Linked DNA regions of Canis lupus familiaris. Each later gene encodes a partner of the first gene's protein in a complex. Links are inferred from orthologs where the notes say so. Each region holds a gene or a part of one and is shown in the gene's direction. Other genes may lie near its edges.

What was found. Proteins that work in one complex are often made in the same cells at the same time.
Region 2: CHD4 (region 1) and MTA3 share a complex: the UniProt entries of both Homo sapiens proteins name them as parts of the nucleosome remodeling and deacetylase (NuRD) repressor complex. The link is inferred for Canis lupus familiaris from reciprocal best matches to the Homo sapiens genes CHD4 and MTA3.
Region 3: CHD4 (region 1) and CDK2AP2 share a complex: the UniProt entries of both Homo sapiens proteins name them as parts of the nucleosome remodeling and deacetylase (NuRD) repressor complex. The link is inferred for Canis lupus familiaris from reciprocal best matches to the Homo sapiens genes CHD4 and CDK2AP2.

The regions. Positions count from the first base shown.
Region 1 is NC_049248.1:7,680,046-7,687,213, reverse strand, and holds the start of CHD4 (chromodomain-helicase-DNA-binding protein 4), read left to right. Parts: upstream 1-2,867; 5' UTR 2,868-3,025; intron 3,026-3,604; exon of another isoform or gene 3,605-3,775; intron 3,776-3,891; 5' UTR 3,892-3,969; coding exon 3,970-4,069; intron 4,070-4,345; exon of another isoform or gene 4,346-4,477; intron 4,478-4,771; exon of another isoform or gene 4,772-4,855; intron 4,856-7,168. UniProt on the Homo sapiens protein: ATP-dependent chromatin-remodeling factor that binds and distorts nucleosomal DNA. Acts as a component of the histone deacetylase NuRD complex which participates in the remodeling of chromatin.
Region 2 is NC_049238.1:34,300,137-34,307,205, forward strand, and holds the start of MTA3 (metastasis-associated protein MTA3), read left to right. Parts: upstream 1-2,739; 5' UTR 2,740-2,799; coding exon 2,800-2,827; intron 2,828-4,492; coding exon 4,493-4,560; intron 4,561-7,069. UniProt on the Homo sapiens protein: Acts as a component of the histone deacetylase NuRD complex which participates in the remodeling of chromatin.
Region 3 is NC_049239.1:50,471,148-50,478,315, forward strand, and holds CDK2AP2 (cyclin-dependent kinase 2-associated protein 2), read left to right. Parts: upstream 1-2,940; 5' UTR 2,941-3,536; coding exon 3,537-3,618; intron 3,619-3,923; coding exon 3,924-4,024; intron 4,025-4,110; coding exon 4,111-4,243; intron 4,244-4,600; coding exon 4,601-4,668; 3' UTR 4,669-5,138; downstream 5,139-7,168. UniProt on the Homo sapiens protein: Acts as a component of the histone deacetylase NuRD complex which participates in the remodeling of chromatin.

The DNA.
Region 1 (7,168 bases):
GCAAGGGCAGAGTCCTCTGGCCAGGTCCCTTCTCTAGGAAAGTGAGATTAGAAGAGCAATGCAGTGATGGCGTGAGGTCTATCCTATTCACTTCTGATTAGGAAGGCTCCTCCTAGAAGAACATCCCAGTTTCTCTACCACCTGTCCCACTGCCATAGGTCTTGGATTTGTATGAAAAAGGCACATGACAACAAAGAAAGGCATTATCTCTGCCTCAGGGGTCAGGGGCAGCAAGGCAGTGGTGCCGGGACATTGGTTCTCATCTGGGTCCTGGCTCTCTGGGGATCAGGAAAGAGGGAAAAGTGACAGATTTATGGGTGCAGGCTCTCTGAGGGCTAACAGGTCTTAAGATTGAGCTCTTGGACTTTCTAGGGCTGGGTCCCCAAGGTACTGCAAAATAGGCCCAGTCTGGGAAGTGGAGGGTACATGTTGGAAGACTTCCTTGCAGCATAATTGAATGAAAGAAGCATCCTGGAATGTTGACTTGTACACAGGAGGGAAGATGGTGAATATTATACATCAAAAGGTTTTTTTGGATGGAGCATGGGGCCTCAACAAGATAAGAATGGGGGCAGTTGGAAGTATGAGACTTCAGGATACAAACAATCCAGGTTAAAAATGTCCAGGACAGGGATGCCTGGGTGGCTCAGCGGTTGAGCATCTGCCTTCAGCGCAGGGCATGATCCTGGAGACCCGGGATCAAGTCCCACATCGGGCTCCCTGCATGGAGCCTGCTTCTCCCTCTGCCTGTGTCTCTGCCTCTCTCTCTCTCACTGTGTGCCTATCATAAATAAATTAAAATAAATAAATAAATAAATAAAATCTTAAAAAAAAATGTCCAGGACATTTAGGGTCAGCATAATTTGGTGTTCAAGAATGAGGGTAACAATTCTGGTGTGTTAAGAGTCTCTCAAGAAGGAGGCACATGATAGGATATTATAGGATTTCAGAAACGCTGGATAGATGGACATTGCTTTCCAATCAAAATCCCTTAGTGTGGTAGGGAACAGAGAGGAGATATCTTGGCCACCCATCTATATCATCCTTTTGGAATACCTTCTAGCCTATAGAAGGACTATCAAGAACCTCTGTTGGGATCTGATCTCTCCTGAGACCAGTTGGGATTTATTTTATTCTCTGTAACAGGAAATTGGGAAATAGCACTGAGCAGTGTTCCCTTGACACCAGACATTCTATCTTGTCTCATTGTTTGATGAAGGGAGGCACCTGTGGTTCTTGCATTCCCTGTGGTGCCCACCTTGGTGCCTTACTAGGTATGCTGGCAACATCTGTTAAATGAACATGATATATTATATATATATATCCTCATGTCACATCATGGTGGGATGTCCATCCATGGGAGTGGCCCAGGTGTGTTGCACCATCTGACCTGGAGAGGTAGGATGAGGTGGGAGAAGGACTGCTGAAATGTTGAGAAGTAGGCTAAAGACTCCTTTCTAAAGATTGGAGTTTATTATGACTAGGGGAAGCTGTGGGGTGAATTAAACTTTATGTAAATGGTTCATCTGGTCAGCCTGGTATTTGGCTGGTCTTACTCAATATTTAAGAGCTGGAGCTGGAGGTAAGCATCTGGAGAATAACTGGATTTGGGTGGGATTGGGTGGGGCCCTAGGTTGACTGGCAGTTCCTGAGAGTCTAGAAATGGTCTGAGGGAAGGTAGGGCTTGCCCTAGACATCAAGAGGTTTTATGCCAGGATACTGCTTTGGCCCAGAAAGGGATAAAGGTATGTACAAGTTGGGGTGGGCACAGGGCAGTGCGGGTAGCAGCCTGCTTCACAACCTTGTGGCTCTGGGTGTTAGAATAGACCTGATGGCCTGAGGAGGTGGGGGAGGTATGAATGTGAATATTATGGGATGCCTGGCTGGAAAGGTATAGGGGTGGTGGCTGGCGATGAAGCATTATGGGATGTGCTGGGAGTATTAGAGTATGTCTGGTGGACCTCGGGCTCCTTGACATTATTATGGGATATCAAGGTGTGGGTGGGAGAGTAAAATTATGGGATATCTTTCCAGCGTTAGAGGAAAGGAGATTGGATGTCCATCTGTAGGGTGACAGTGGGGCTGCCGATCATTAGAGGATATCTCTTTGACAGAGAAGAGGTTACTATGGGCTGTGGAGTTAGAACGCATGTATGAAGGCTGAGGGTGGTGGTGTGAGGATCTAGACCCTAGTCTGCAGGGGCTGAGGGCAGCTCAGGCTAGGGGGTTGGTTATTATGGGATGTCAGTGTAAAAGTGGGAAACTGATTATTACGGGATGTGTGTGGGAGGAGGCCGAAGTGTCCGTTGTAGTACTGGGGGGGGGGGGGCGTTGTTTCTGACTATTATGGGATATCAAACTGGGGGTGGATGAAGAGTGGTTATTATGGGATGTCTGTGGGGGATGGGGAATGAGTATTATGGGCTGTGAGGCTTAAGTGCTGGGAGGGGTGCTTATTATGGGATGGCCATGGGGAAGGAGAGGTGACGAATTATTATGGGATGTTAGCATTAGGGCCAAGAGTGAAGAAGTTGGCAAAGGATGGCTATTATGGGATGTCTGAGGTGGGGAAAGGGTTAGTTGCAAAGGTCTGCAATATTATGATATGTCAACAACCTTAGCATATAGGTGTATGGAGTGTATGTGTGTGTGGGGTGGTGGTGGTGGGGTGTCCGTGTGTATTATGGGATGGCCGGAGGTGGGTGGTTGCCCGGGTGACACGCGCGCGCGCGCTCGAAGGGGGCGTGGCCAATGGTTGCCGGAGCGACGAGGGGGCGGGGGTTGCCCGGGAGACCTAAGGAGGAGGGTGGCGGTAGTGGAGGGGGGGTTGGAGTTGGTTGAGGTTATTATGGGCTGTCCGTGGGGGGGCGGGGCCTGTGCGGTGGGATTTCCCGGCCGGTGTTTCGGGCCCTTTAAGAGGCGACGCCGGAGCCGGAGCCATTTTCCCCCCTTCGGCCGCGGCGAGGAGGAGCCGGAGCGGGAGTGACACCGGGCCGGACCCAGCGCGACCTGCGGCGGCTCCGGGGTGAGGAGAGCGCGGGGTTCCTAAAGAGACGCCCCTCTGAGCCTGACCAGCCCCCAAGCTCATCCCTCCATCCACCCCTTCCTCAGATGTCCCGGACTCGCGGACCGCCCCCTGCCCAGAGGAGCCGACCCTTCCTTTTCCTTGCCTGCAGGGCGCCCTGCCCCCCCCGCCCCCGCCCTGAGCCGGCCCGAGTCCTGCCCCCCGCGGCTCCCACCTCGGGCTGGGTCTCCCACAATGCCCGGCGCCCGCCCCCTCGCCCTTTGCTCACTTGCCCCCCGGGACACGTGGCCCGGCCCCCTGCCCGGTGGGCGCTCCCTCGCCCCCCGCGTCCCAGCCTCCAGCCCCCTGGAGCGCCCGAGCCTCCACGCCCCCTCGGCCCCGTGGCTCCTCCGGAGAACCTGAGTTGTCCCAGAGGACAGCCTTTGGAGAGCTGCCCTGTCTGGGGACTGGCCCCTCCCCAGGCGCAGGGAGGCGCCCCCCCACCCCCAAGTGACCTTGTGTCCCCGAGCGCCTCGCTGCCTGCCGCCTCCCCCGACCCCCCCGCGCCGCGGCCACTCGGACCCCCCTCCCCCGACATACCCTGCTCGGTCCAGCCTGGTTTCTCCCCCTCCCCACGCCTGCACCAGCCTGCCCTCGGGGGCGTCGCTCCCGCTCATCTGGGGGGCTCCAGTTGGGGAGCCGGCTTCCGGGCTGCCCTCGAGGAGTGTGGAACTAAGTTCAGCCTGAGTGGTTCGGGTGCCCTGCTAGGGTGGCTGGGGTTGGGGGGGCCGCTTTGGTGGTGGGCGGAAAGAGCGGGTGGGTGTGGGGGAGGGGGACAGTGCGCGTCACTGACTGTTCTCTCTTTCTTCCCCCCCTCCCCCGCACAGTGACTCGGGCCAGTGTAGAGGGCCCCAGGCCGCAGGCAGGAGCAGCTGGGCCAATTCCCTGGCCGGGAGCGGAAGGGGATGGCGTCGGGCCTGGGCTCCCCGTCCCCCTGCTCCGCGGGCAGCGAGGAGGAAGATATGGATGCACTTTTGAACAACAGCCTGCCCCCACCCCACCCAGGTAAATCTTCCCCAAGGGCCCTGGGCAGGAAGGAGGCATTTGGGCCCTCCCTAGCGACTCTGGTGAGGCAAGGTTGAGTTTCTCTCTCTCCGTGCAGAGTCTGAGGTGGAGGGCATCCGAAGGGAGTGGTTCCCTTCTGCGGAGCTCTTGTGGGAGGGGGTGGAAGCCATGTGCCTCCTGGGCTCTGGGACCGAGATGCAAGCTTGCTGCACTGTCTGTTTTAAGGAATGCTATGCAGTTCCCAGTTGAGGGAGCCCTCTGGTCTGGAGACCTTACCTTGTGTGGGTCCACGGAGGAATGCAGGTGGCTGGGACCCGTTGGAGGCGGGGTGGGGGTTCGGGTGGGTGTCGAGGATTGCATGTTGAAGACCAGCCCGGCATCTGTGTTAGCAGGATCCTGTGGTTGCTGCTGTGGAAAGGAGAGAGGGAGTGCTGGTTACTCTCTATCTGATTATTTTTAGCTTCTGATCAGTTACCGGTTTTCTGTGATGTCTCAACTGTGAAGTTTGAATTGCGCTCCTCAGCTGGGATGTAGAGAGCTTTTAGCAGGCAGATTGCTGGAATGTTTCAAATGGGGAAATGATGGGGGCTTGGGGTAGGATGTCACACCCTGAAGGATATACTAGGGAGGGGCAAAAGAAGGGAGGTGACACCCTGGGCAACCCCCCCCCCCCTTCCCATAGCAAATGGACATGATACAGACTTTTTTCCTAGAGGCTTCTGCTTTGGTGCAGGGAGCCTAGGGTTTGGGCTGGTGTCATGAAGTGTTTGTGTAGGTGTGTTGGGGGTTGTTCTGTGTTTGTGGGTGGCTCCTGGGACTGGCCAAACCCGTATGGTTGTAATCATCCTGCCTGATTGGAGAAGCTCTTGTCTCTTCTCAAATGGTGATTGATGTCATGCATCTGAGTGGATGTCTCTCTCTTGTCTGTCTTTCCTTTTTCACAGCCCGTAGCTAAGTCACCTACTTGTTTCCTTGACCTTTTTTTCAAGCTTCTTTTTTTTTTTTTAAATGTCATTTCTTTATCCTTCTGCTTATCTTTATTTTCGCTTTAATTCTGGAGCCTGCTGGTCGTGTTTTTGTTTCCCATCAAACATCTTTCACTTCTGCCTTCTCTCTCCTTAGCTGTAGCAGTAAGTTGAGGTCTGGGAAAGATGTTCCTACATTTTGGTGTTTTCTAAGTTGGAAGTCTTCAAGTCTTAGTTTGAAACTGAGGCCACTTAGTAAAGGGGTCAGTCTTGTTGCTGAGTCTTCAGCTGTTGGGATGAGAAACTTAGGCTCGAGTCTCATCACTGTGTAGACCAAGGTGGCAAATTTCTGTACTGTTGCCCAAGGTGGGGGTGGGGTAGCAGCATTGGTAACATGATCTGACTCTCTCTGTGAGGGGCGAGAGAAGTAGTAGTGCTGTCCAGCCAATGTTGGTTCCACATTTTGGCTTCCCATTGGCCCCTTGGGCTGGGGCTGCCCCTGTGTTGATTGGGAGCAGTGCAGGCTCCCAGGGTGAACTCTGCCCCAAGCTGTAGCATGACCCAGTTTTTCCACTTGCCACACCCCATTCCTGCCCCTTTCCCAAATCTTCTTTTATGTCTCAGCCACTTTGAATGTTGTCTCTGTGCATTATCTGCTTGAGAAGTTTGGGGGTCTTATGTGGATGGGTGTTCCCTTCACCTGCACGGGTTTGTCCTGGTGTCCAGCTTTCACGGAGGTGAGGAAGATGAGGAACTGAGAGATGTGACTTATTAGTGAGGGGGATGACATGGGGGATTGCTTTGAAAAAGCCTTAAGAAAATGGTTCTTTCTGGTGAGATCCAAGCTGGTGTTCCATTCCCAAGGGAATGGGAGGGGCTTTCATATGCCTGGCCTGATCCTGGGCTGAGTGGGGGGAGGCTGATGGTGCTTTGTCAAGCTTAATGTCTCATATTCCCTAGTATCTGCCTTGCTCAGGAAGGGCGGAGCCAGAAGCATTTTAGGGCTAGTTCTGGGAGTCAGGGGCGAATAGAAGGAAGCATATTGTCCCGCACTGTCCAGGTGCTGCTCTTCTTTTCTTCGTGTGAACATCACATATGCTGGATAGGTGGCTACTTCTAATCTGTGAGAGGTAGTTTAGGGTCTATGGCTTGGACTCTTGGGGAGGTAGGTGGTGAGAAGGGAACTGAGTTGTGGAGACTTCTGGCCTCCCATTCCTCAAGCTAAATTTTTTGGGTATCAAAAATTCAAGAAAGTTGTATGCTGTGACCACAGCTCCACTGAGTTTTTGTTAAATCTTAGTTCTGATGATTGGAAAAATAATTATGATTGAGGCAGTAACCCAGTCTTTCTTGTGGTATTACCCTTCATGTTTGTCTTGGGTTTCCTTGCCTAGGACATTAAAGTGGCTTGTTGAGAACTGTGTCATCCCAAAATAGGTGTTAGGAGAAGTGGTATGTGGACCTGGGGCCAGGTAGCAATTTGGGAAGTCTTGTGAGGGTAGTCTTTCCTCGGCTACCTCTCTCAACCCAACCCCCTCTCCCCTGCTACTTCCTGTCCTATGTTGGCAGCTGGGTGCCCTGGGCTGGCTTTTGCGGTCAGGAGCCATTTTCCCTCTCCTCAGTGGGTGAGGCACTCCCTCCTTCTCTCCACTCCCTTCTCCACTCCCGCCTCCCTGGGCGGGGGTGGCTTAGGAAGAAGGAGAGAGAGGAGGGAGGAGGGAGTTGGTGTGAATGTGTGTTAGTTACAAAGGAAGCTGCCTCCTGGCCTTCTCCTCCCCCTGTGCCCCTTCCCACCTAGCCCTGCCCAGGAGCTCTCAGTATTACCCTAGGCTTTGTGTGTGCTCCCAGCCAGGGAAGGAGGTGGAGCCAGATGGGAGGAGGATGGGGGTGTGTGTGGAGGAGATGGTGACAGCTGGGCTGATTTGGGCCCCTGGGGAGAAGAGGCTACTGACCCAGGAGAAGCTGGGGAGGAACAGTAGAGCTGGAGATGGGGAAAGGAAATCATGTTTGGGAGTGGGTGTGATATTGGGCGGACAACTGAACCTGGGGCTTGAGGATTCTGGTGGTTTTAAGCAGTGATGACCCAGAGTGGGTAGTCAAGGGTGTGGTTTCTGGGCCCCCTGCACTGATAGGC
Region 2 (7,069 bases), on another chromosome or scaffold:
TGCCCTGAGCCGAAGGTAGATGCTTAACCACTGAGCCAGCCAGGCATCCCAATAAATAAAATCTTAAAAAAAAAAAAAAAAAAAAGTACTGCCATATGGGAGGTTAGCAAGTGTTTGGAGATTAAAAGAAACCCTTGGACCAGACAAAGGGTGGAAAAGTCTTAATCTTCAAAGATAGCAAAGGCACCTCCACCTCCATAGGCTGCATGGTTCAGCTCACAACCATGCCATCAACCAGACCTAAACTTCACTCCTACTTTGGCTATTTAGCTTTAAAACCTTGAGCAAGACACTTAACCCCTCTGAGCCTCAAATTCTTCAAAATATGATTACGGACTGACACCTATAGCAAAGGCTTGTGCTAAAAATTTAAATATATAAAGTGTTCATCACATGTCAAGAGCTTCCTACATATTAGGTCCCTTCTCTCTATGCCAGCCATCCTCATCACTAAAGAAGAGATGTTGGGGATTCCTTGCTCATTTACTTAAAAGTAATGGGCACTTTATTTATTTATGATAGGCACACAGTGAGAGAGAGAGAGGCAGAGACATAGGCAGAGGGAGAAGCAGGCTCCATGCACCGGGAGCCCAACGTGGGACTCGATCCCGGGTCTCCAGGATTGCACCCTGGGCCAAAGGCAGGTGCTAAACCGCTATGCCACCCAGGGATCCCTGGGCAAACACTTTAAAACTTGTGATGCATTCCTTTGTAATTTATGGTTTCCAGAGGCCTGTTCACTGGAGAAAGGCTTCCTGGTTTAGAGAATTCTAGGCCAGAGGAAAGGGCAGAATTATAATCCCAATACTGCTGGAAGACTCCAGGTGAATTATTCAATCTATTTGTCAGCACAGAAATGGAGAGAGTGATGTCAGATATGTCATAATACGTTTTCTGTGGGATCTCCAGTAAAAGGATTATGGTAACAGCTAGTCAGTGTGCATAACAGAACACTTCTGCTTTTTTCTCTGGGTCAGAAGAGCTGACACAGGTTCACACTGTACACATGGTGTAAAAACCCTTGGGAATCTGAAACTTTATGGAGTTAATAAAAAACAACAGACACCTGTTATTTGCATACTGCTCTATGCTGAATAGTTTATAAAGCATTTTCATATATTGTCACAACTGATCCTTACCCCACCTGTGAAATGGAATTAATGTTCTCATTTTGTACCTGAATAAATTTGGGTGACACACATCATCAAGGTAATTCAGGCAAATGTGCTTTATTTTTTACTTTGCCTCAGCTATATAGAGCATTATTTTTTTCACTTTAATAATTTGTGATCATGGACCATCACATATGCCATCACCATTCAAACACAACACAATCTTCTTTTCTGGGGACACTGCCCATCCCTGCACAGATCCCATACCCAGGGTCACCAACATGTAGCTGTAAATCACCAGAAACTCCACAAACAACTCACAACAGTGAGGGATCATCTTACCCTTGATTATATAATGATGTCTGGAAGTAGTTTGGAATGGATTGGCTTTTTATTTTTTCAATTTAAAACAAATTTTTATCAAGGTTTATTTGAGAGAGCACTTGGAGGAGAGGCAGAGCGACAGGGAGAGAGAATCCCAAGCAGACTCCTCACTGAGCATGGGGGGGGGTGTGTGTGTGTGCCTGGACACCGCCTCCAGATAATGACCTGAGCCAAAATCAAGAGTCAGGTGCTGCTGGCTTTTTAAAAAGTTGTTTGCATTCATTTGGGGGATTGCCAGCTAAGATTCAATTCAATTTGTTTTTTTGCTTGTTTCTGTGAGGGAATGGAGGCTGAGAATGCTGGGATTGCCTAGAGAATTGGCATGGGAAAATAATGATTCAAAAGCATTAGGCACATAACTAGTTAAAAGTCCATCAACAGTAAGGGGACTGAAACCATCTCCCCCTTTGTGGAGAGGGGGTGGGAATGGCGAATAAGTAGGGTCCCTTTCCTAAGGGCCTCTTTTCCTGGCAGGGCGGCACTGGATATAGGGTCTGTCTAGAGGCCAGGCCTCCGCTGGGAGTGGGTTCTGTTCAGCCCACGCGTGGGGTGAACTTGATAGACCTGTCAATGCAGTTGGGGTGACTTGGGAGGGGGTCAGTGTTTTTGGACTTCTCTCCAGCTAGCACGCTCCCTGGGGAAGCTGGTAGCACCAGGGTCCTCCTGGCCCCAAGGTATGCGGGTTCCATCACCACCATGAGGCAGGCGCTCTGCTGGGCGCACTTATTTGTTTCCAAGTGTTTGCCCTGAGGCAGGCGCCCACGTGCTCAAGGTCTTGCATACAAGGGCTCCCCAGGGACGCAGCAAGGAGGAAGACCTGTCTGCGGGTGGCCAGGTGACAGGGTACGGTGGCTGGGGCTGTGTGGGCTCGGGAGAGCCTGAGCCCCTGCCCCCACCCCAATTCTCCCACCGCTCCAGGTCCGCATTTGCCACTGCAGGCCTCCGCTTCGGCCACGACCCTTGCCCTGGGGTCGCCCACCTCCGGCGAGGGCCCCCAAGCCGCCGCCTCCCCAGGTCCCCGCGGGCCCCGCAGCGACCTCCCCCGGCCCGGCCCGGCCCGGCCCGCTCGGCCCGGCTGGCCCGTCGCTGGGGGCGGGAACCTGCCCCCACCCCGCGGCGTCCCCTCCCCTTCGCTTCCCCCTCCCCTCCCCTCGGTGCCTCCCTCCCCTCCCCCCCGCGGCGAGGCGGCGGCGGCGGCGGCGGCGGCGGCGGCGGCCGAGGCTGAGGCGGCCGAGGCTGAGGCGGCGGCGGCGCGGCGCGGCGGGCGGGGCTCGGCTCGGGCTCCGCGGGCGGGCGGGCGGACATGGCGGCCAACATGTACCGGGTCGGAGGTAGGAAGGCTCGGCCCGACCCGGCCCGTCTGGGAGCGGGCTCCGGGAGTGGGGGGTCGGGGCGAGTTCACCCTAACCGCCGGGGGCCGCGGGCGCGGGGGGCAGGGGCGCCGGGGCCCGCAGGAGGGGCCGGGGCTCCCCACCCGCGCCACCCGCGCCACCCGCCCCTCCCCCGGCCGTGGCCCGCCGGGGGCCGGCGCCCACCTTCCCCCTCGCTCGCACCCCCGCTCAGTTTTCTAGGGCCGGCCGGGCCTGTACTTGGGGGTGTGAATTCTCAGCTGCCCCCCTCCGAGACGCCCCCATTGGGTGTCGGCCGTCGAGCCCCCAGTGGGGTGCTCTTTCCCTGCGTGGCTTCCAGGCAGTGGGGGGGTTGGAGAGGATGGGGGGACGCCCCCCCGCTCTACTCCTTCACCCCTTCAGTTGGGAGCGGGGGGTGGGGGCGATGGGGGCTCAGCCAGGCACAGCTGGACAGGCCTGTTGGCGGGGATAGGGCCCTTCACCTCTCCTTCCTCACTCCCCCCTCCCGTTTCTTGCCCAGCCCCCCCAAGATGGGGCGTAGTGGGGCCAGGGCACCGCGGCCAGAGGTGGGGAGTTGAGCTCTGCCCGGACGTTTGCTCTGGTGACTGCCTTCTCAGCCCTCTGCAGAAAAGAGAAATAAGGTCAAACAAACTTTCTCCCTACTCACGACGCCCTCCTCCCTCTTTCTTGGTAGAATAATAATTCAGATAAGTGGCGTGTTTGTGTGTGAGACTTGGTCTTCTCTGCTCATTAGCTGAGCTCCTGATGGATGGTAGTGGGAATGGCCTGGCCAAATGAGGCCACTTTGCAGAAGAGAGACGACGGAAAGAGCCACTAAGATAGACAATAACAATGCAGCCCAGCCTTTCAAATAAACACACAGTGGGAAGTTTCCAGTGAGCCTATTACAGGAGAGGAAAAGCCACACTTGAAAATTTTTATCTTTTTTATTGAAAGCCTGCGGTGATTTTTTTTTTTATAACAAGACCCCAAATGGATCTGTATTAAATATGGTAAAGAGCATAACAAAATCCTGATAACCATCTCCAGAGAGCTCTGTCTCTCAGAAAGGGAATCCCCTTTCATGCCCCCCCCCCCCCCCCCAATCATCCCAGATAGAGCTGTGGAAGTTTGTCAGTGTGCTTCCTCTTACCTATTCTGCTCACCTGATTTTTTTTTTTTTTTAAGTTGGTGATTGAAATGTACTTTGGGCTGCTAAGCTTTTCAAGATGCTCTGAATTTGTCTTAGGTCAATAGTTTTATGTGAGAAGCATACTCCAGGGTAAATTGGATTGGAGGGGAAAGATGTGGAAGCAGTTATAGCATGAAAGACACATGTTTAGTCAGCCCTGACTACTCGGTGATGAGGAGTCTTTTTGTTTATTATTAAAGAAGTGATGTGTGGCATGAAAGGCTCAGAGAGCTTGATAAAACATTAATTGTTAAATGAAAATTTCAGGAAAATAAGGGTCTGTGAATAGTAGGCATGAGAAAATATATTAAGGTTGTATTGCTAAATTTGCTTTTAACCGGGAATGAATTATGTGCTTCATTTTGAATGTGCATTGCCTAATATAGAAAGTCATAGATTGACAAATGTGAACTTTCTGTTGAAAAGATTAAGGTCTTTACTTCCTTTAATTACAGATTATGTCTACTTTGAGAATTCCTCCAGTAACCCGTACCTAATCAGAAGGATAGAAGAACTCAACAAGGTATAAACGCTAAGTGTTCTTGATTCTAATATTAAAAAAAAATTGTTTTCCATTGACGAGTAATTAGGTAAAGGGCATAAGAGGTGATTTTACTTTCAGTCCTGGACTCTTTGAAACTAGAGATTGAAGATTAGAGAGTTATGCAGGATTCTGAATATTCTTTTGCTTTTATAATTACCTATGATATTAAATGTTACTGAATATTTAACATCTGCAGATTTCTGGGATGCCTGGGCTCAGTGGTTGAGCATCTGCCTTTGGCTCGGGGCGTGATCCCAGAGTCCCAGGATCAAGTCCCACATCGTGCTTCCTGCATGGAGCCTGCTTCTCCCTCTGCCTACATCTCTGCCTGTCTGTGTGTCTCTCATGAATAAATAAATAAAATCTTAAAAAAAAAAATCTGCAGATTTCTTCACGTTGCTCAGATCTTCTCGGAGCAGGTCACTCTTGTAACTGTCCCTTTTTATATTTAGAGTCATAATTGTATTTCTTTCAGGGAATTATTTTTTCCTCTTTCAGCTTTAGAAAGAGGAAGCTAGGAAATGTAGTATTGAAGCGAATTTGTAAAATTTTGGACTAGGTCAACTAATAAGAATACAGTTTTGTTATAATGTAAAGTAGCTTCCTACTTTAGGCCTGACAGCAGAAGCTTTGTGACTGTTTGCAATAGGTGAGCTTATTATAATGGTAGCATATGAAAAGCCATAAACTATATGAACCATGGATTACTAATGGTGCTCTGGTTTCCTCCAAACCAACTTTGAAGATTATTTGTTTTACTTATGAGAGTTCATAGTGTTAAAATGTCGGAAGCTGTCTTGCTAATACCTTTCCTCCAAAGTACCTTCTAGAGACTGGGGAAGTTCTGAGTCCCAGGATGTAAGATTTGGTTTAGGGCATTTCTGGTTTATGAACCCTGAGATCTTGGTTTGCTTCTGGAGACATCCCCATGGACCTTACATCTATAAAAATTCTGTTGTAGTTGAGACCACCACCATCAAATGAAGAAAATGACCTCAGGATTAGATCAGTCTGTTGGTGGGAACAGTTGGGGTGTCATTTTGATCTTTTTTTTTTTTTAAAGATTTTATTTCTCCATGAGACACACACACACACACACACACACACACACACACACAGAAGCAGAGACACAGGCAGAGGAGAAGCAGGCCCATGCAGGGAGCCTGACGCAGGACTTGATCCCCGGTCTCCAGGATCAGGCCCTGTGTTGAAGGCGGCGCTAAACTGCTGAGCCACCTGGGCTGCCCTCATTCTGATCTTCTCTTTTATTTTAGTGATGTGTAAGAGTGTAGGCAACTTGAAACTGTTTATGAGTTTATTTAGAAAATTAATTAGGATACAAAGAGAAGTGTTGGCCTATGAAACATATTCTCTGGCTGCTCCCTATCCCTCTGACCTCCACTCTTACTGCTCTCTGCCTTGTTCATTTAGCTCCAAAGACAGTAGACTCTTTGCTGTTTTCACATACACGTACCTCAGGACCACCCCACCAAGTTGTTTCTAATTCCCTGTACCTTGCTCTACCTTGCTCTTTTCCATATTATTTATCACTTTCAAATATAGTTAATTATTGTGTTTGTTTTCATTGTCTGTTTTCCCGGACTAGAATGTAAGCTCTGTGTGTAGTGATCTTTTCTGTTCACTAATGCATCCCAAGTGCCTTAGAGTAAGAGACTGGCACATAGTTAAGGCATTCAGTAAATATTTATTGAATTAATGAATTTCTCACACGTCTGACGTTAAACAAGAGCCTTAACATAGGGAATAACAGAAGTCACTTCTTTTGGATAGAAAAGGAAAGGATTTTAAGGACATTGAAGTTGGGGACGCCTGGGTGGCTCAGTAGTTGAGTGCTTGCCTTCGTCGCAGGGAGTGTTCCTGGGGTCCTGGGATTGAGTCCCACATTAGGCTCCCAGCATGGAGCCAGCTTCTCTCTCTGCTTGTGTCTCTGCCTCTCTCTCTCTCTCTGTGTGTCTCTCATTAATAAATAAATAAAATATTAAAAAAAAAAAAAGACATTGAAGTTTAAGCCTAAAGGATGAGAAAGAGGTAGCCATGGGAGAGATGCCACACTAGCGTTCCACATAAAGGCCCTGAGGGATCAGAGGTCAAGCTGGCAAAATGGGGAAAGTTAACATGATGGAAAATCCAAATAATGAATTTAAGAACACCTTTATACTCTAATTGATAAACCAGGATAAGAAAGGACATTAACCTCGGGGTACCTGTCTGGCTTAGTCGGTAGAGCATATGACTTGATTTTGGGGTCCAGCGTTTAAGCCACATGTTAGGTGTAGACATTACTTAAATAAAAAAATGAAAGAAAAAAAGGAACATTAACCTATCTCATTAACTATCTTCTTGAAGTTTATTTATATATTTTAATAATCTCTACACCCAGTGTCGGGCTCGAACTAAGGACCCTGAGATCAAAAGACTCTGAAATCTAAAGTCAATTATGCTCGACCATCTGAATCAGCCAGGAGCC
Region 3 (7,168 bases), on another chromosome or scaffold:
TCGATATTTTATGCAATTCCATATGCAGATTCCATAATTTTTTCCCTGATTATCCTGCTGTTCCAGAATGCCATCCAGGATACCACAATACATTAGGCATCATGTCTCCTCAGACTCCTCTCAGTTTTGACAGTTTCTCAAACTGCTCTTGCTTTCTTAGGATCATGGCAGTTTTAAGGACTGGTCAGATATTTTATAAAAAGTCCCTAAATCGGGATTTGTCTGATGTTTCTCTCATGATTAATCTAGGGTTATGGGTTTGCAGGAGGAAGACCACAGAGGTAAAGTGCCTTTCTCATCCATTATTATCAAGGGTGCATACTATTAACATGACATCACTATGGATGTTGACCTTGATCACCTGGCTGGAGGTAATGTTTGTCTAAATTTCTATACTAGTGGGCAGCCTGGGTGGCTCAGCGGTTTAGTGCCTTCAGCCGAGGGCGTGATCCTGAAGACCCAGGATTGAGTCCCACGTGGGGCTCCCTGTGTGGAGCCTGCTTCTCCCTCTGCCTGTGTCTCTGCCTCTCTCTCTCTCTCTCTCTCTCATGAATAAATAAATAAAATCTTTTTAAAAAATTTCTATACTAGAAAATTACTCTTTTTTCTTTCTCCCATTATGTACTACACTCTCTGGAAGAAAGTCACTATGTACCCCCACACTTAAGGGGTGGGGGTTAAAATCCACCTGATTAAAGGCATATCTACATAAACTACTTGGAATTCTTCTACATAGATTTGTCTCTTCTCTTCCTTTATTTGTTTACTCAACCATTTATATATATATATGATATACCATATAAGTTATATATGATATATGTTATATAATTACATCTACTTACATACATATAATTACATCCTAGACATTACATATCAATATATAATATCTCCACCTTTATTTACTCAACCATTTATATGTATAAATGATATACATAAATATACATATATATATATCAGTATAGGCTTATAGATATTTATTTTATGCAAGTTATAATCCTATTCTTTTTAAAATTTTGTTCAAATTGCTCCAGCTTTGGCCACTGGCAGCCCTTTCAGCTGGCTCCTGTATCCCTTTGGTATATACCCATCATGTTAGCATTTGGGGTTTGGGATTTTGGGGTGTGGTGGGTTTGGGGTTTTGTGAGGTTTTTGGCTTTTTTTGTTTTGTTTTTTTTCTTCCAAGATCATCTTGTATATTTCCTACCCCAGTCTTAGAATTAGCCATTTCTCCAAGGAACTCTGGTTCATTTTATTGGAGAATGCTATTAGAAACCAAGATCTGGGTGCTAAGTTGCTTCTAGGCCCTCTCAGCAGACAGAGGAGATACCCATGTACACTAATCTGTGTATATGCAGTCTTTATATAATTTCTCTATGTAACCAACTGTATCTACATTGAGCTAAACATGAGTTCATACTGATATCTCCAGTTCCAACCTTGATCGTGTTAGCCTCCTCCACATGCTTACCTGTCACTACTTATTCCAACAATAAGAAATCATCCATCCTGACTTAACTGTCAATTCTAGTGTACATGTGCTGTGGCTTCACAATTGTTAACCCATACTGCCACAGAAAACCGCTTCATCAACTAAAGTTGATGCTTACCCGCAGCTCCTTTACATTCACTTACAGACTCCGCCCATTTCCAGATTAGCACCTTACTCCCCCACCCCTTTAGTGAGGCTGTCTCAATCCTACCATACAAAATAACTTCACTGCCTTAAAAAAAAAAAAAAAAAAAAAAAAAAATCCCCGATGTCACTCATTTAACTCTACCCCTCACCACCCCCGGCACCCAGTAATCTGTTTACCTCATGTATGAGTTTGTCTTTTCCAGAATGTCATACAATTGGAACCATACAGCGCATAGCTTTTTCAGACTGGCTTCTTTCGCTTAGAAATATGCCTACCTGTGTCTTTTCAGAGCTAGATAGATGATTTCCTTTTATTGCTGAATAAATAGTCCCTTATACGGATATATCACAGTTTGTTCATTCGCCAATTGAAAGCTGCCTCCTCTGCAAAGACTCCTGTGATGTCACCAAGCAGGCTCCTTCCTCTTAGTTCCAATGCATCCTGTATACCAGTCTCCACATTGTCTTATTGTGCTGTGTGCCTTTGCTTTCCTGTCTGTCTCTCCTTGAGACCAGGAGCTCCTTGAGGAGAGAAGCCACGGCCAGTTCATTTCCATATCATCAGTGTCCCGCACAAGGATGGAGGATGGAGTCAGAAAATGCCTGTTGGATGAATGGACGAATGAATGAAATGTCACGGAGAGGAGGAAAATCTACAGACCTGGGGCATGAAGAATACACAAGGCCAGAATAGTTTTGAGGCGAAGTAGCCCAAGAGAAAGGGTTAGTGTTCGGAGGAAAGTCTAAGATCTAGGGTGGTGAGGAATGAAATTTGAGGGGAGGGGTCTGGATGCAGAAATGGAAAGAAAAGAGGACAATGAAACAAGCTCCTTATGAATATTCATTTATCCACACAACCCTGTAAGACAGTTATTACTAACGTCCGCATCTTTACGATGGGGAAACCCAAACATACTAGGGTAACTTGCCCAAGGGGAAATCGCTGGTGCGGTGGGGTGAGATTCGAACCATCAGCCTCGCTCCACTTGGTGCTCTCACCCAAGATCGGTTTGGTACAGGGCCCGGCGAGCGGCGAGAATTCAACGAAGGCGAGATGATCCTGCTGTTGCCAGTAGGAGGCCCAGGCTCGGAGTCTTGGAGGACTGGCTGAGGGGTCTTTGAGGCCGCCCTCGGACCTAACACGAGCTTAGACCAAAGGACGAGGCAAACCCGAGAGGCGCGGAGGCAGCGTCGATGAGGGACCCGTTGCCATAGGAACAAACGGAAGCTTTAGGAGGGCGCATGCGCAGGCCGGGGAAAGGGTGTGGAGCCGGCGAAAGGTGACGTAAAAGCGCACGGGGTGAGACGCAGGGCTCCGCACGTCAAAGCCCTGCGTCCTCCGGCATTCAGTGCAGTGGAAAGGCGCGCGCGGTGCTGGCGCCGGCAGTGATAGCAGCCCCAACTGGACCGAGAGCAGGCGGTGCGGAGCTGACGTGCAGAGCAGCGCCAGTGAAGCGTGAAGGCGGCGCCCGCGCCGGGAAGACCCCTCCGCGCAAAACGCGGCCGACCGGACCCGGGTCCCGGCTTCCAAGGCCCCGCCTCTCGGGCCTTGGGACTAATCGGATTGAGAGCGCGCCGGCCCGGACCCCGAACTCGCCAATTGCGTAGGGCGTCAGCTACCGCCCAATCCGGAGCAGACAGGTGCGAGGTCCGAAAGGCGGAGACCAATCAGCAGCGGTTGCGGCCTGTTGGGGCCGATCTCTGCCAATGAGGAGGCCCGAGTGACATCCGCGCACACCAATCGGGAGTGAGAGAGCGTTCGTGCCCGCCCGCCCTTCCGGCCTGAGCTCTATTTACCAGGGGCGTGCGGCCGGTTTACCAATCAGAGCGCGGCTGAGCGGCCGAGCAGCCAACCCCGGAGGAGCGGCCGGCCGGCGTCCGCCGCACCCGAGAGTTGGGGATGTCCTACAAACCCATCGCCCCCGCCCCCAGCAGCACCCCCGGCTCCAGCACCCCTGGGCCCGGCACCCCGGTCCCCACAGGTGAGGATCCGACTCTACCCCTGCTCGCCTGCCCGGGTGGTCGAGGTCTCGAGAACACGGCCCGAGTTCTGCAACACTGGGCCTGCTGCCTCCCCTCTCTGAGCCTCAGTTTGCTGGCCTGTGAAGTGGGCGTGGTCACGTAAGGGCTAGTTGGTGGAGCGCAGGGGGAGGGGTTTGTCGCTGAAGTTGAGCGCCTGGAGCGAAGTATCCCTTTGGAGGGAAGCGGGCGAATCCGGTCGGGGGCTTGGAACGCTGGGAGGCCGGGTCCCGGCCCCGCGCTGACCTATTACTCGCGCATGTTGCAGCCGGAAGTGTCCCATCGCCGTCGGGCTCAGTGCCGGGAGCCGCTGCCCCTTTCAGGCCCCTGTTTAACGACTTTGGACCGCCCTCCATGGGCTATGTACAGGTGAGTGGGGTGAGGGATTGCCTACGGACGGGGACTGGAGGTCCCCGCGGGCCCTGAGCTCATGGCCCTGTCCTCTTTTGACATAGGCAATGAAGCCACCTGGCGCCCAGGGCTCCCAGAGCACCTACACGGACCTGCTGTCGGTCATAGAGGAGATGGGTAAAGAGATCCGGCCCACCTATGCTGGCAGCAAGAGCGCCATGGAGCGCCTGAAGAGAGGTAAGTGAGGCTTCCACCCTCCCTGCTCAGGAGACTAACACTGGACAATCCTTCCTTAGCAAAGGAAGGACATCTGGAGGCCGCGTGACCCAAGCCTAAACAAGGGTGGGTGTCACTTTCCAGGGAGGTGTTTTGAATTGAATTGAAATTGAGTCCGTTTGGGGGGAAGGACCAGGGCATTTGTCTTTCAAAAGGACAAATTTGAGGATTAGCCAAATCGTTAATCTCATCAGGCCCTTTATCATCCTCCTCCCTTTCACTGGAAGGAAAGGGGGTGGGGAAGGAGGGTCTTCCTCTGGAGGATGAGGGTGGGACCCTGCAGGGTCGCTGCATGTTACTTGCCCATTCCCACCTCAGGCATCATCCATGCCCGGGCCCTAGTCAGAGAGTGCCTGGCAGAGACAGAGCGGAACGCCCGCACGTAACAGGACGCAATTCCACCGCCGAGTCTGGACCTTTCCTGGCCACTGCAGAGCACCTGCTTCTCCCTGGCCTTCACCCCGAGTTGCACTTCCCAACCTGGGCTTCCTGTCCTGTGTCCCCTGGTGGGTGCCCTCCAGGAACCAGGGGGCGGCTCTCACTCCAGCCGACAACACTTGACTGGGACTCTTTCAAGAGTTAGCAGCGAGGTCACTGTGAGTCCCGCCCATGACCTGCCAACAGTGTTGATCCAACTGGAGCTTGCTCCTTTCTGTGGCCCCCACCACTCAGCACTTACCCAGGACTTGTCACCACCTTTCCTAGACTCCTCCCCTAGCAAGGCCTCCCTAGGCCTGTCACCTCCCTGCCTTGTCTCCTGGGCCATAGCGACTCTTTTTTCAGTCAGTGTCTTTTGCTAAATATGCCCTTTTTGTATAAATAAAAGATAATTTGGAGTTGTTCTCTCACCTCTTAATCTTTCTGAGTGTGGTGCTTCTGCTGAGCCAGGAAGAAATTGGAAAAGAGGAGATCGAGGAGGGGAGAGGGGCAATGCAGTGGTGGGAGACAGGGCCACTGAACCTGGCCTGGCCTGGCTCCTACTGTCCATTGACTTGGCTGGGACCCTGCCCTCCTCCAGCCCTGGGCCTTCACAGTTCTGAGTCTTGAAAAGGCTTAAGCTCCAGTAGCTGTGAGCCCTACCCTCCTACACGTGGTGCCACCAGGGGGCAGCCTGGAGCTTTAGCCGCCTCCACAGCTGGAGGGCACTGTCGCCAGCCCGGGCCTAGAGGGTTCTTTCTCTGGATTGGCAGTCAGTGCCTGGCAGGGTGGAAATGTCAGTTCATATAAGCCAGGCCCTCACGTGTCTTAATTTTCTAAAATCTTAACCTCCCAGTCAACCCTGGAAGGTTCTGAACACGTCCTGACTTCTCAGAGGAGAGGGGGCACTGCTGCTGCTTTTCTCCAGCACCTGAGAAGCAGAGCCAAGGGGAGAGGATGGTCTTCCAACAGGAGCGAGATCCAGCTTGGTGCTGCCATCCACTGTCCCAGCACCTCCTAGCCAGCTGGGTGTGGTCCCGTGAGCCCAGCCCTCAGGTGTCTCAGCCTTTGCCCAGGGTCTGGTTGGCCAGACTTGTGGACCCGGAAGGCATCTGTGGGAAAAGCCATGGGGCCCCATTCAGGGGCTAGACCAAGGATTTCCGGTGACCACAGTAGCGGTCTGCCTGGGTGTGTACCTGAATGACCCCAGAGGCCTAGGGCACTGGAACCCCAGCCCCTTAGAAGAGGCAAGTCTAGGACCAGCTTCTCGGCTAACTTTGGGGACTGAGACATTTCCCCTATCCCGGGTTCCAGGTTGGAGGGCTGGGGAGAATGGGGATGGGGTCCTGCCATATTTCCATGGCACACAGGAGGGCTGGGCCAGGGTGGAGACACGAGCCATTAGAGCTTAGGAGATCCCAAAGAGCATAGCGGGAGTAAAAAGCGCCAGCACTTGGAGAACTGCCTCTTCCCCCGCTGCCTGGGGGAAGGAAGGCAAGGGCCGCCCTCCGCCGCCACGGGCGGGGCTGCGGGACCCCGCAGGAGTGGGGAGGGCCAGCCGGGCCCAGGAAAGGGGCGGGGCGGCCGCAGTGACGCGGCGGGCGGGGGGAGGGACGGCAGGGGCGCCGGCGGGCGGACCCGGAGGAAGGTCGGGGCCATGGGCCCGCGCTGCACCTCCAGAGGGTCCGGCGGCTGCTGGAACCCGAGGCTGGGGCTGGGGGCCCTCCGGGCTCCGACCCACGGCCCTCCCGCCCCCACCCGGACCGGGTGAGGGGCGCCCGCCCTAAACTAGAGGTGAGACGGGACGTCGGCGGGCGGGCCAAGAACACGGCGGGGGACGGTCCGCCGGGGAGCAGAGGGAAGTGGGGACAAATGGGGCCTCTCGCCTGCTCGCCGGGTGCGAGGTGGGAGGGGTGCCTGTCGCGGAACCGGGGCGCAGAGGGGCGGAGCGGGTCTCTCGGGGTGGGGGCCGTGGGATACCCAGTGGAGCCACTCTTGCCTCAGCCCCAGGAGGGGTCAACTCCGGGAAGGATGATGGTGTGGCTGCATAGACGAGTGCCAGGGGTCCAGGAAGGATGCTGAGGAGGGGAAGTCGAGGACTGGGCTGCGGGCCAGAAGGGCAAAGGCAGGTCTGGGGGCCGGAGGGGTTAGTCATGTGGTCCAAGAAGGTAGGTTCGGGTGCAGGGGGTGGGGAGCACTGACAGACGCTAAGAGGAGGAGCGCCCGGAGCTGCTCTGCGGACAGACATCCCGGGGACTAGGTTCTAAGTGGATGGGGAGTGGGGGACACGCGACCGCCGACTAGGGGATAGTGATGCAGCGGGCGGGCCCCGACCGGATGGCTGTGGAAGGCGGGCCTGGAGGGAGGGGACGGGGGCCCGGCTCCTGGGGGCGGGTCCCGGAGGGATGCAGCTTCGAGGGGGCTTAGGACGCGGCCGCGGCTTCAGAGGCGAAGCTGGCCCCTGAGCCC